3 linked regions of the Astyanax mexicanus genome follow. The protein of the gene in region 2 interacts with the protein of the main gene of each other region in a pairwise test. Links are inferred from orthologs where the notes say so. Each region holds a gene or a part of one and is shown on either strand. Other genes may lie near its edges. The genes, in order: calcoco1a, cep19 and cep43.

Region 1 (3,756 bases), on a different chromosome or scaffold from region 2:
GGTGGAGTCAGCAAAAATCAGGGGGGTTAGCGCCCCTTTAAGAAATATCTCCTGACAAATGACCAACTTGTACCTAATAGCCATTTAAAATAAAAACTGAATAAACCTTTATTAACAGGGAAATCAGTCGAATACAGCAAGAGCTCTGCATATAGAGCCAAACAAATCTTGTGACGGACATCAAAAATTAATTTAATCATTTAATACTAATTTAATGTTTGTCCTACCTAATGCACATCTCTTAAAGAACCATATTTTTTTTATATTCCTGAAATGTGTTTATTTGAAGTAATAAAACATATCAGTCCTGCTTAATTTTTTAAAAAACTTTCCTGACCTTTAAAAAACACTTTATTGTGGTCATTTCGGCCTCTGCAGGCGAGGATGATGTTTCTGTGTACTCACAATATGCAGATCAGAAAATCGATAAAAACAATAAGACAATCAGCTCTCCATCCAGCCCAGTCTCTAAACCCATACATCATCCAGTGCCCCTCCCAAACTACTCGTCCAAGCCTTTTTCAAATTATACATATAAACACTGATTTAAAAGTAATTTGCTGTATTACGAAAGACAAAGTACCAAAAAACTGAAACTCACAAACATTATAAAACCTAATTTATTCACTCGATACATTAAAATATGACCGATAGAGCTACACTGACAGGTATAAACGCTTTTAAAGCGCCAAATCTTGCGGCTGTTCGTGAAATCAATAATTACTTCATCTAAAAATGTCTGTTTACAGCACCATCAAAGAGCCGCAACATCATGGGCGGAGAAGGTGGAGACGGTGGAGAAGTTCATAAAGAGAATTCAGTCTAACATCTGTACAGAGAACTCAGCTAGATAACACACTGAACCCTATAATTATTATAAACCTTCAAACAACCACCAAAATAAAAGACATGAGGGAGGAAAAGACAGAAAGAACAAAAAGCCTTTCTCTCTCCAAATTTAAAACCCCTAAAGATCAAGTAAATGTATAAATATAATTATGTTATTAAAATAATACAGAAACTGGGGAAGCGCAGTTCTAAAGGCAACAGGTGACTGAATGAAAGCAATACAGTACAACAGAACCAACAGGCCAACAGGGCTTTAATTAGCAACAGGAAACGGAACATATTGTATTACAGGCCGACACACAGAGAACACTGTTAACTATGTACCGAGAGGCTATTCTGAATAATAGGCTGCTTAACAGAATACTTACAAAGTCACAAGCATGCAAATGAGATTATAGAGTATTATATTATATTATATTATATTATATTATACAGTATTCTCAGTATTCTTATAACAGTAATTATTAGCCTGTTATAAACATTTACACAATAACAGGGTTCTCACACCTAGCTATAGCTCTTCATACTGTCTTGAATATTGTTCCTAGCCCCTATTTTTAAGAGCAGTTTCTACTCAAGTCTTAAACAATTAAAAATATGTTTAATCTGATCAAATTTATATAGGATGAAATGACTTTTCAATATGTGAGACAATAAGTATGTATAATCAACATTATTGATTATATTTACTAACTGCTGCAGCCCTAAAGTACACCTAATTTTTATATTAATTTACAAACTGAATGAGAAGTTAGTACAGTCTTATCTTGTGAAAAAAAAGCCTTTTGAAGTCTTTTTTTTACATTTTGCTCAGTAAAATAAACAGATAAATTTGAAAGATATTAAAGCAAAGACAGAACGGCTGCTTATCAGTACTTAGTTTGGCTATTTTCAAGGAGATGCAAGCAGGAATAAGAAAGTTTAATAAGATCATCTTAAAAATGTTAAAATTGATCTAGCTAGCTAAACAATTAAGTCAAGTGGAAACAACTAAAATATCTATATCTGTATAGATACAGTAACCTAGCTATTGTTCTGCTTATATTGTTCTGATTGGCCTGCTATCTACAAAAAAGTCTGTGAGTCAGCCAATCAGCAGTGTTTTTTTTTTCCTTCTGGACAGGATGATGGGATGCGGTCAGGAGCATCATGGCTCCCATCAAAACTCATTTCACCTCAGACTACTCTAAAGTATATCTCTGTCCGTTAAAAGTATTAAACAATGAAAGCCTTGCTCGCTGTACAGTTTGTAATAGTGATTTTAGCATTGCCCACAGGGGACTAAATGATTGCAAAAGGCATGTTGAGGTGAAATAATGAAGTATAAAGTGTATATATAACTTATACCTCCATGAAATTATTTTTTGCAACTTGGAATGTCTCACTGGAAAATAAAATCAGGGATAAAAGGGTTAATCTTAATCTGGTCACCTATCTAGTAGATTAATCCTTCTGAACATCATTTCTTTGGGCCTATATGGTGCCTTTAACATCAGGACAGACTGTAATTAGCTATGTTAGCTAGGTTAACTAAATTACAGTTTGCACATGAGGCAAATGAGGAAAACACAAGGCCTAAAGCAGCCAGCACAGATGACCACAGGCTGCACGCAGCTTTAAACACTGATAAATACACTGATTTTACAACTGTAATCAATAATAATCCAATGAATAATCCGCAAAATTAAGATTATAACAAGCAATTCGTCAAACTGACCGTTTTTTCCAGCCGATATTCATTTTTTGCTGCGTGTAAAACATGCAGTCAGACTTTCTGCAGCTTTTTAACCTCTAATAAACTCACCTTATTCACTCTCAGCTCCTCCGCGCTGATTCTCCTCAGCTGTCCGGTGTAATAAACCCGTTCCGCGGCTCCAGCGGCTCCGTTTTCCCCCTAAAACGGCTACCCGTCCGCAGCGAGGCCGCAAGCGTTTAACAACAATAACAAAAACACAAGCATGGCTGTTTCCACGGTGCCGCTGCATCACGGGAAGTGTAGTTCTCCTGCAGTGCGAGACTATACAACACTGTCTTATAAAAACTACAATCCCCAGACAGCAAGAGGATCAGCTCCGTTCGGTCAGCAACGCGAAACGTCACGTCGCATGTAACAGCGGACTTTACTGTGATTGGCTGACGTTTGACAGACACCTCACATGACCCTGTCTCATTGGTTGAGATTTTGTTTCCTTCCTTTTTAGACCAATGAAAGCGGAAACGTCACAGCAGCGGCGTCCCCTCATAGCATTGAGGGTAAAAAGAAGACACGCACGCGCACGCGCGCACACACGCACTGGTCAACATGTGACGATTGCGAAGTCAGTGTGGGAACTTAAAGAGAGAGTAAATCCACAAAGTTAAATATCTAATTTAACCAGAATTAACGTAAAACTATCGTGTCCAATAAAAAATATGAGTAATGATATTTTATAACAACTTATTATACTTATATACATAACATATTATGTTTCTGTCCCCAGGAAATTACATATATGAATGTGCACACAAAATATTTTTTAAATAAATAAATGTTTTTATTAAGCACAGTGTCTTGTACATTGACCTAATTGCAAAAGTAAAAAAAGTGTAATAAAAAATATAATAAATTGTCCTAAAAACAAAAATAGCATTAGTTACCTATCCCCCACTTTTTAACTATAAACTTTACCATGAAATATTATTAATATAATCCTTCAGAGGTGTATATATTTTTTGCATTGTTGTGTGACTCCCATCAAATCCAATCTATGCTGTAAAAATATTTTTTTTCTCAATAATGCCATAATATTTAAGTTAAAATACACATTTTAGTCGTATCCTTGTTAAGTTTAATTTGGAACAGTTACAACAAGCAAATGGCCCTTATATAAAATAAGCATGTTAATTAATAGCCTCTTACTGGCAACA
Region 2 (3,756 bases):
TTTTTACATTTATTGTTTACTTTTTTTGTTAAGCCTTTCAGACCTGAATTATCTCCAGTGATGGAACAAATGTAAGAATGCCTTTTTCTGTATGTAATGTGCAGAAAAAAAACTCTAATATTCTACTAGGAAATTTACATAACACATAACTATACAGTTAACTAAACTATTTAATTTGTATTTTTCGCATTGGATCATTTTACTTTGGAAGCCTGTGTGTATTATGTTATAGATTTTACACTTGTATTTCATAAACCATCCCTATATAGTAAAAAAAAACTTGAGAAAGTATTCTAAATTACATTAAATTAGTAAATGATCTGTTACTTTGCCTCAATGGCTCTAATACTACTGTTTCCAGTGCAGAGGACGGGGCAAAGTTGGTATTATAAACTCGGACTTTTATTATGAAGAATAAGCGACCTCAATCCGTTTAGTACGCTATTTATATAATAAGAGTCCAGTATTAAAATATGTTTTCACAAATTACATTTCCAAAATCTAAGTAGAAATCAAGAGTACTGCTAAACCCATAGAAACGCATAAATAAAGCAGCAGAAAGAGGGAAACAGTTACTTAGCTGTAGTTAGATAGCTTTCTAACCTAGGTAACGCTTAGCTGACTAGCTGACAACGACAGGGCCGAATAAGACAAAGCTAGCCAAGCTAGCGTTAAGTATTTCAGCTTTACCTATCAGTCCTGTAGATTATTATTACCTTTCTGTGAGTGCTCGCAATGTATTAAACAAAACACAATAAGGAAAAAATATAGAATAATCATTCTCAGATCTCATGCTGCGAAGCCTGTTCACAACACTGTGAACAAGTTTCCGTGTCCGGTGTTCTGTCGAATTGTGCTACCTTGTCAAACTGTGCTACCCTAGTACCATTTTATTTTTAAAAAGTTAAAACAGCTAAAAACAAACAAAAAAACACCATATTAGAAACCTTATTAGACAATACTCTCATCAGAAGCCCAGGTAGGATGTGTGGATAGGCTAAATCACTGTATTAGATGAAGTTAAAAAGATAATTGCATATATGCGTGATTAGAAATGGTATAGTTTATTATTATTATTTGAATATATATATATATATATATTTAATATTTATTTACAGTGTTTTTACAGTGTTTTTACAGTGTTGTTTAGTGCTTCCAATAAAAACTTAAGGAATTATCATAGAAAACATGAAAACATATTTAAAAATGTTGGTCGGCGCATGCGCAGTGTCGTAAAGAAGCACTTATCGTTGTGTGGCAAAACTCGACAGAACACCGCGCGGGAGCTGGGCGACAGCGGGCGCTCGTACGACCGAGGGACTGCTGTAAGAAGAAGACACGAAAAAGATGCGAGAATAACCCCCTTATTAAGCTTTTATTCTACATAAATGAACAGTCTGTGCTGCGGGTTCCTTTAACTATGATGAACTGAAGGTATGTAAGATTGATAAATATAAACACGTGACTGTTATTATGAGTTTTAACCGTTGCCTAGATACCGATAGAGACGCGCAGTGTGATCTCCAGCACAGCAGCAATATGGGCTTTAAACAATTAAGTTCAGTAGACTCTGTTTATTAATGCAATTTAAATATACAGATCTGAAAAAATAAGAGACCACTTAAAAAATATGAGTTTCTTTGATTTTACCAAATTAAAAGCCTTTGGAAAATAATCAAGAGGAATATGGATGATCACAAGCCACCAAACCAAGCTGAACTGCTTAAATTGTTGCACAAGGAGAAGCATAAAATTATCCAAACCAGTGTGTAGGACTGGTGGAGGAGATGCATGAAAATTGTGATTAAAAAATAGGATTATTCCACCAAATATTAATTTCGGAACTCTTAACACCTTATGAAGATGAACTTTTTTTTGCACTATTTGAGGTCTAAAAGCTCTGCATCTTTTTTGTTATCTCAGCCATTTCTCGTTTTCTGCAAATAAATGCTCTGTATGTCAATATTTTTATTTGGAATTTGGGATAAATGTTGTCCATAGTTTATAGAATAAAACAAAAATGGTTAATTTTACTCAAAAATATACCTATAAACAGCAAAATCAGAGAAATTGATTCACAACTGGATGGGTCTCTTAATTTATTTCAGAGCTGTATATCAAATTAACTTATCAAATTGAGATTGTAATGCATAATGTATAATTTTGGGACAAACGTTGCAGTTTTTAATAATCCTCATAAAAATATAAAATAAAAATTCTTGATTAATCCCACAGCAGTGAAATTTGCAATATTACAGAAATGAAAAGTACATCGCAGACATTTTAGTTTATATAACCCTTCATTTGTCTAAATGCACAACAATAAAAGAAAGCAGGGACAGCACCATTCAAAAGTTTGGACAGCTTAATTCAGAGTTTTTGTTAAGTTTTCTTGTAGATTGTTTTTATTTTTTTAACTACTTGAATGTCTTGCTTTATTATATGTGTTTGAGAGCATCAGTTGTGAAGAAATGAAAGTCAATCAAACTTTGAAAGTATCCTCAGTTGCGGTCGGTGATAAAGTGATAGTCGGTGATAAAAAACAGTAAGTAGTTATACTGTGTAAATGCATTCATTTATCAGATTTTGGTGGGTGTTGTCTACTGAGGGAAGGAAGGCCATGCGCTTTCCTTCACACACTGTGGGCACAGCAGCTTGTTGCTGAAGGATAATATAAGATGTATTTAATTCTGTATAATAATTACTTCTATAACAAACTATTGCATTTCACTTTCCTATAGTATTCCTATATTCCTGTCTGTGTGATGTCCTCTACTAAACTAGCCAATTGCTATAGTAAAGTACAGCCTTCTTTTTTTACCACCTTCTTTTCTCTTACAGATAACTTCACTTAAATGACACATAATGTCAATAAAGGCAAAGAAATGTGGAGTGACATTTGCGCCACCGTCAATTATTGTCATATATGAAAGTGAAGATACAAAGAAGATGCGCAAAAGAGTAATACCAGTGAGGAACTTCTTTCAGTTTTCAGGTTTGTTGTTCTCATATTGCTAGACACTGAACCCAGTCACATTTTAGTGTTTCTATTGCTGTAACATGCCCATTTTAATCGTTAAGTTTTAAAATAAGTTATTCAAAAATCTTTTCAGATAAACATATGAAGTAGGACTTGTTCAATTGTTGTGATAAGAAGCAATATCGTGTATATGTGTATATTGCCTTTAGAAAAAAATAGACCGACTTAAGACATAATTTAAATGCTGTACAGCAAAAAATATATATTTATTACTATTTTACTACAATCATTACATAAAATCTGAAACTCTGTATTTGTGCTGCAGTCACGGTGACCCATAAAAGAAATATAATGAGATTCATGTGTTTGTAATTCAGTGAATTCTTCATTAGCTAAAATACACCAACATGCCAAAAGTCATGGGATCACAGTATTTACATTGATCATGAAATCTTACCTCAGGGGCTCAGCTTATGTAGGCTGCACACACATATCCCATTAGCAGTATTTAGCGTTTATGGGATGTTGCAAACTTTATGGGACCCTATCCTATTTCTTGTCCCATGACTTCTAGCATATGTGTATAAATCAAAAAAATTCACTTTGATTAACTTTTCTCCTCAGACTGTGGCAGAGCAGCTGAGAGACTGAAGCACCATGCCCGTCACAGTCTGTACCTGGAATCTGTCCCTTTGGCTCAGCTGGAGAGACTACACACAGTCCTTCGTGACCACCTGCGGGGTCTCACCTTGGAGGAGAGTCTGGCTGCACAGCGG
Region 3 (3,756 bases), on a different chromosome or scaffold from region 2:
ATGATGACATATTGTAATGTAATATTAAACTTGTGTCTTATGCGATAGAATATTTGGAAATATCTCTTTGAACACTAAGTAGTTTAGGTGAGTTCATTGAACTATCTTAGTATATTTACTACGTTCTATTTTTAACACATTGATATTAAATAAATAAATAAATAAAAACTGTGATATACACAATATTCTGCAGTTGGTTTGAATGTTATGAGCATGGTAATAAAACAGAACATATACTGTACCGTGTTAATTTCTGGCTGAAAGACTGCAAGAGTGAAGTCTAAATTAAAGACTTGTAGGAAGTCGGTGATTAAACTGGCCACAAGGCGTCCTGCGAGAGAAGGACCCCAGTTATAAACAAGGCTAAAGCTCTGAGAAACAGTGAGGGAGAACAGCAGCCCTGCAGCTTCACTTACCATCTTTAGTGTTCAGACACTTCTTTAGATTTTCATTTACAAGTGGGGTTTTATTCTAGAGAGGACAGGAAGGAGACATTAATATCTAATACATATTACATACTCATATAACAGATGTGTTGCTACCCTATGGAAGCCTTTTCTCACCACAAAGAAAAGTAAACTGCTATCTTATTATTTTGAAAAAGTAAGACATTATTATGGAATACTTATTCACTATTTTGAAATCATGTTTTATTACTTTGAGATAGTAAGTCATTATTTTGAGATACTAACACACTGTACAGAGACAGAGGCAGGTGAGACAAAGATGCAACATTGTACAATCATTGAGGATTACTTTAGATGTAGATTTACAAATCATGAAATATTGGTGCTTTTAGAGGAATCAAACAATATCAAAATAAACCTCCGGACCTGGGAGAGAAGGCTATAGAAGAGCCAGCTATGAAAGGAGGAAAAACTACACAAATATAGCTGAAGTGGAATCCTTTATTAACCAACAGCTGCAGACATCTGTAAAACAACACGGATACAGACGAAAATAATGATATAGTATCTCAAAATAACGACTTACAATTTCAAAATAATGAGATAGTATCTGGAAATAATGAAAAATATATATATTTTTATTTTAGGTGGCAGGATGGGGCTTCCATATCACTCAGCTAGCTCTCAGTACAGAAGCTTATGATAAACAGTGATTTATAGAGAAGAGTTGAGTGAGTTAGAGTTCAGACTGCTGCTCCACTTTACCTCCACTTTATCCTGCTCTTCTAAAGCCAGAAACACCGCAGCTCGAAGCTCAGCCTGCAGAACAACACCGGCTACACTCAGATCACACTTCAGTAAACCAGAATTAACATATTTTTTATACACATTAACTTACACACGTTTACACACACACGTTTACACACACACACACACACACACACACACACACAGAAAAAACACAAACACAAACACAAACACACACACAAACACAGACATACACAGACATACACATACACATACACATACACACGTTCTTTACTAGCCCGTGTTTAGAGAAGAACTCAATCTGTGAGTTCGGGGGAGAGCTCAGTGGTTCAGGTCTTCAGGTTATCTCATAGTTACAGTTTGTTGACACTACAGTTCAGCTAGTCAGCAGGCTAACCCAGCTGTAGCTAAGCTAAGCTAACCAAAACTTTAGCTCTCACTGCTGTACTAGAGTGAACTAACGTTACCTCACTAAGAGTCAACACACAGCCTCAGTAAAACTCTCCACTATCACCAGCTGTAGCTTCAGGAGTACCTTAATCTTGTTTAAAACGCCGTTGTTTTCCAGGTTCTGGATCAGGAGGTCTCTCAGCTCCGTGTCCTCCTCCGTGGCAGACATCTTCAACCCCACTGTCATGTGACCACGCGGCGCCCTCTGCCGGCGGACTGTCTTCATTACAGCTGAGGTGAACCGGCCGGTAGTATGTGTGACGACGCCGCAGAGCCTGCCTCCTGTCATGTCATCGTGGCCGCCATATTGGAGGAGTCAACCTTACGACCCAGTGCATTTATTAGTACTAAGGAAGGTGTTTAATACACATATAAAAATCACAACTCTACCAATATTTACCCGATTTTACCACGGTTTGGTTTGTTACAAACAGCAGAGATATAATTTAGTAACAGTACAGGGCAAAATACCTGCTTAGGGCTGTCAACGTTAACGCAAGTTAATTAAATCACCAAGTTTGACCCCTACTTCCGCTGTAATCTGCCCCAGAATCTATGGCTGCGTCCAGAAACTTTTGCTACTCCTCCTCTCCTACCCCTCCTTTCCTACTCCTCCTCTCCTACCCCGGAAGAAGGTGGAGGAATCGAGGAGAGGAGAGGAGGAGGAGGAATGGAGGGAAGGAGCTGTAATTGGGGAAATGGGACAGCTGATCCCTTTTAGATAGGATGTTGACTACCGTTGAACTGAGCCAATCACAACGCTCACTTTCAGCACGTTTCATAACATTACTATCACACACAGCCAAAAATTCAGATATTCCAATAAAATCCTGTTTACTCCCAGCCGCATTTCAGAGTGTGAAGGTTCAATTAGCAGGGTAAGAGCACAGTTCTGTTCAAAATATTGCATGTACACATAAGTGCCTTAAATATTGCCTTGCCTTTATTTCAGGTCAAGAAAACATCATTAACTTGATCAAGTCGTATTTATGTTATTTTGCAGATGCAATGTAAAACAGAGAAGATTTATACTTATGTTAAACCATACCATGTTTACAAGATAGAAATGTCAGGAAACCACTTGTCAATGTAAGAATGCACAGCTAAATTATCTTCATTGATTAACAGTTGTTTGACACATCCAAATGTACAATTTTCTGTTCTAATTTATTAAATGATTAATAATATTCCCATAAATCTGTAAATAAAGTGTTAAAATGCATATTTAGTTAGATGCATCAGCCTCTGTTACTTAGTATTAGCATATGTATATACAGGTAAAAACAACCGGGATCAGATTTAAGCGTTAAATAACCAAACAACATCTAGACTGGCTGATGCACAAAATAATGGATAGGTCGCATCTGCTTTGCAATTCCACAATGCAAAATGTGTTTGATGGCTAAGAGCAAGGATTTAATTGGTTAATGCAAAACATGATTGACAGGCTCATATCCCGAGTCCCCGCCCATTTAACCGCTAGAGGGAGCCCGCGAGTGAGTCTAAAATAATTGGGGGTGAATCACATTAAAAAGAACAATAAACTTCTTGTCCGAGATATTCCTTTAGCCCTTTCAGACCCTGCATCCATTACAATAAACATCACGTATTTTGTTATTTTACATGTTTGTTGCAAAAAAGACTATAAAAAAAACATTTTATTTTCACTTGCAGGCATTTACCCACCCTTTAATAGTTAGATACATGACAGGGAGAACAATGACAGGCTGAAGAGTTTTAGTCAAAATTGGCATTAAGTGAAAACATGGTTGAACTGCGCACCTTTTTTTGCAATTGTTCATGGTGACCTTGTTCTGCATCAAGGATACACATTAATGTTTTTCGATTCATTTAATTGCTGAATTTTATCTGGATATTTAATTTTGTTTTTGAACCATAAGAAGCCAGATGAAAACAAGCTTAAATGAAATAGGAGCAATGAGGCTATTTTAAAAATGTAAAAATTAGAAAGTACAGATAACTGTGTGAAAATGTAAAGAGTAGAAGTAAAAAATAATCGGAAAAATTACTCTATTAAAGTAGAGCTAACCCAAATTTCTACTTAAGTAATGTAACAAAGTATTTGTAGTGTATTACTTCAGGAGGGCTGTGAACACATCGAGGCGAGGAG

Evidence for each region.
Region 1: the proteins of cep19 (region 2) and calcoco1a interact in binary tests that used the Homo sapiens proteins (3 or more experiments, as listed by UniProt). The two-hybrid records come from large-scale screens. The link is inferred for Astyanax mexicanus from reciprocal best matches to the Homo sapiens genes CEP19 and CALCOCO1.
Region 3: the proteins of cep19 (region 2) and cep43 interact in binary tests that used the Homo sapiens proteins (3 or more experiments, as listed by UniProt). The two-hybrid records come from large-scale screens. The link is inferred for Astyanax mexicanus from reciprocal best matches to the Homo sapiens genes CEP19 and CEP43.

The regions. Positions count from the first base shown.
Region 1 is NC_064420.1:1,180,895-1,184,650, reverse strand, and holds the start of calcoco1a (calcium-binding and coiled-coil domain-containing protein 1), read right to left. Parts: upstream 2,829-3,756; 5' UTR 2,654-2,828; intron 1-2,653. UniProt on the Homo sapiens protein: Functions as a coactivator for aryl hydrocarbon and nuclear receptors (NR). Recruited to promoters through its contact with the N-terminal basic helix-loop-helix-Per-Arnt-Sim (PAS) domain of transcription factors or coactivators, such as NCOA2.
Region 2 is NC_064423.1:28,867,750-28,871,505, reverse strand, and holds the start of cep19 (centrosomal protein of 19 kDa), read left to right. Parts: upstream 1-1,259; 5' UTR 1,260-1,434; intron 1,435-2,841; 5' UTR 2,842-2,865; coding exon 2,866-2,995; intron 2,996-3,604; coding exon 3,605-3,756. Other genes in the region: pigx (phosphatidylinositol-glycan biosynthesis class X protein), read right to left, coding at 717-780. UniProt on the Homo sapiens protein: Required for ciliation. Recruits the RABL2B GTPase to the ciliary base to initiate ciliation.
Region 3 is NC_064408.1:75,014,988-75,018,743, forward strand, and holds the start of cep43 (FGFR1 oncogene partner), read right to left. Parts: upstream 2,260-3,756; 5' UTR 2,097-2,259; intron 1,947-2,096; 5' UTR 1,915-1,946; coding exon 1,711-1,914; intron 1,227-1,710; coding exon 1,173-1,226; intron 472-1,172; coding exon 417-471; intron 332-416; coding exon 243-331; intron 1-242. UniProt on the Homo sapiens protein: Required for anchoring microtubules to the centrosomes. Required for ciliation.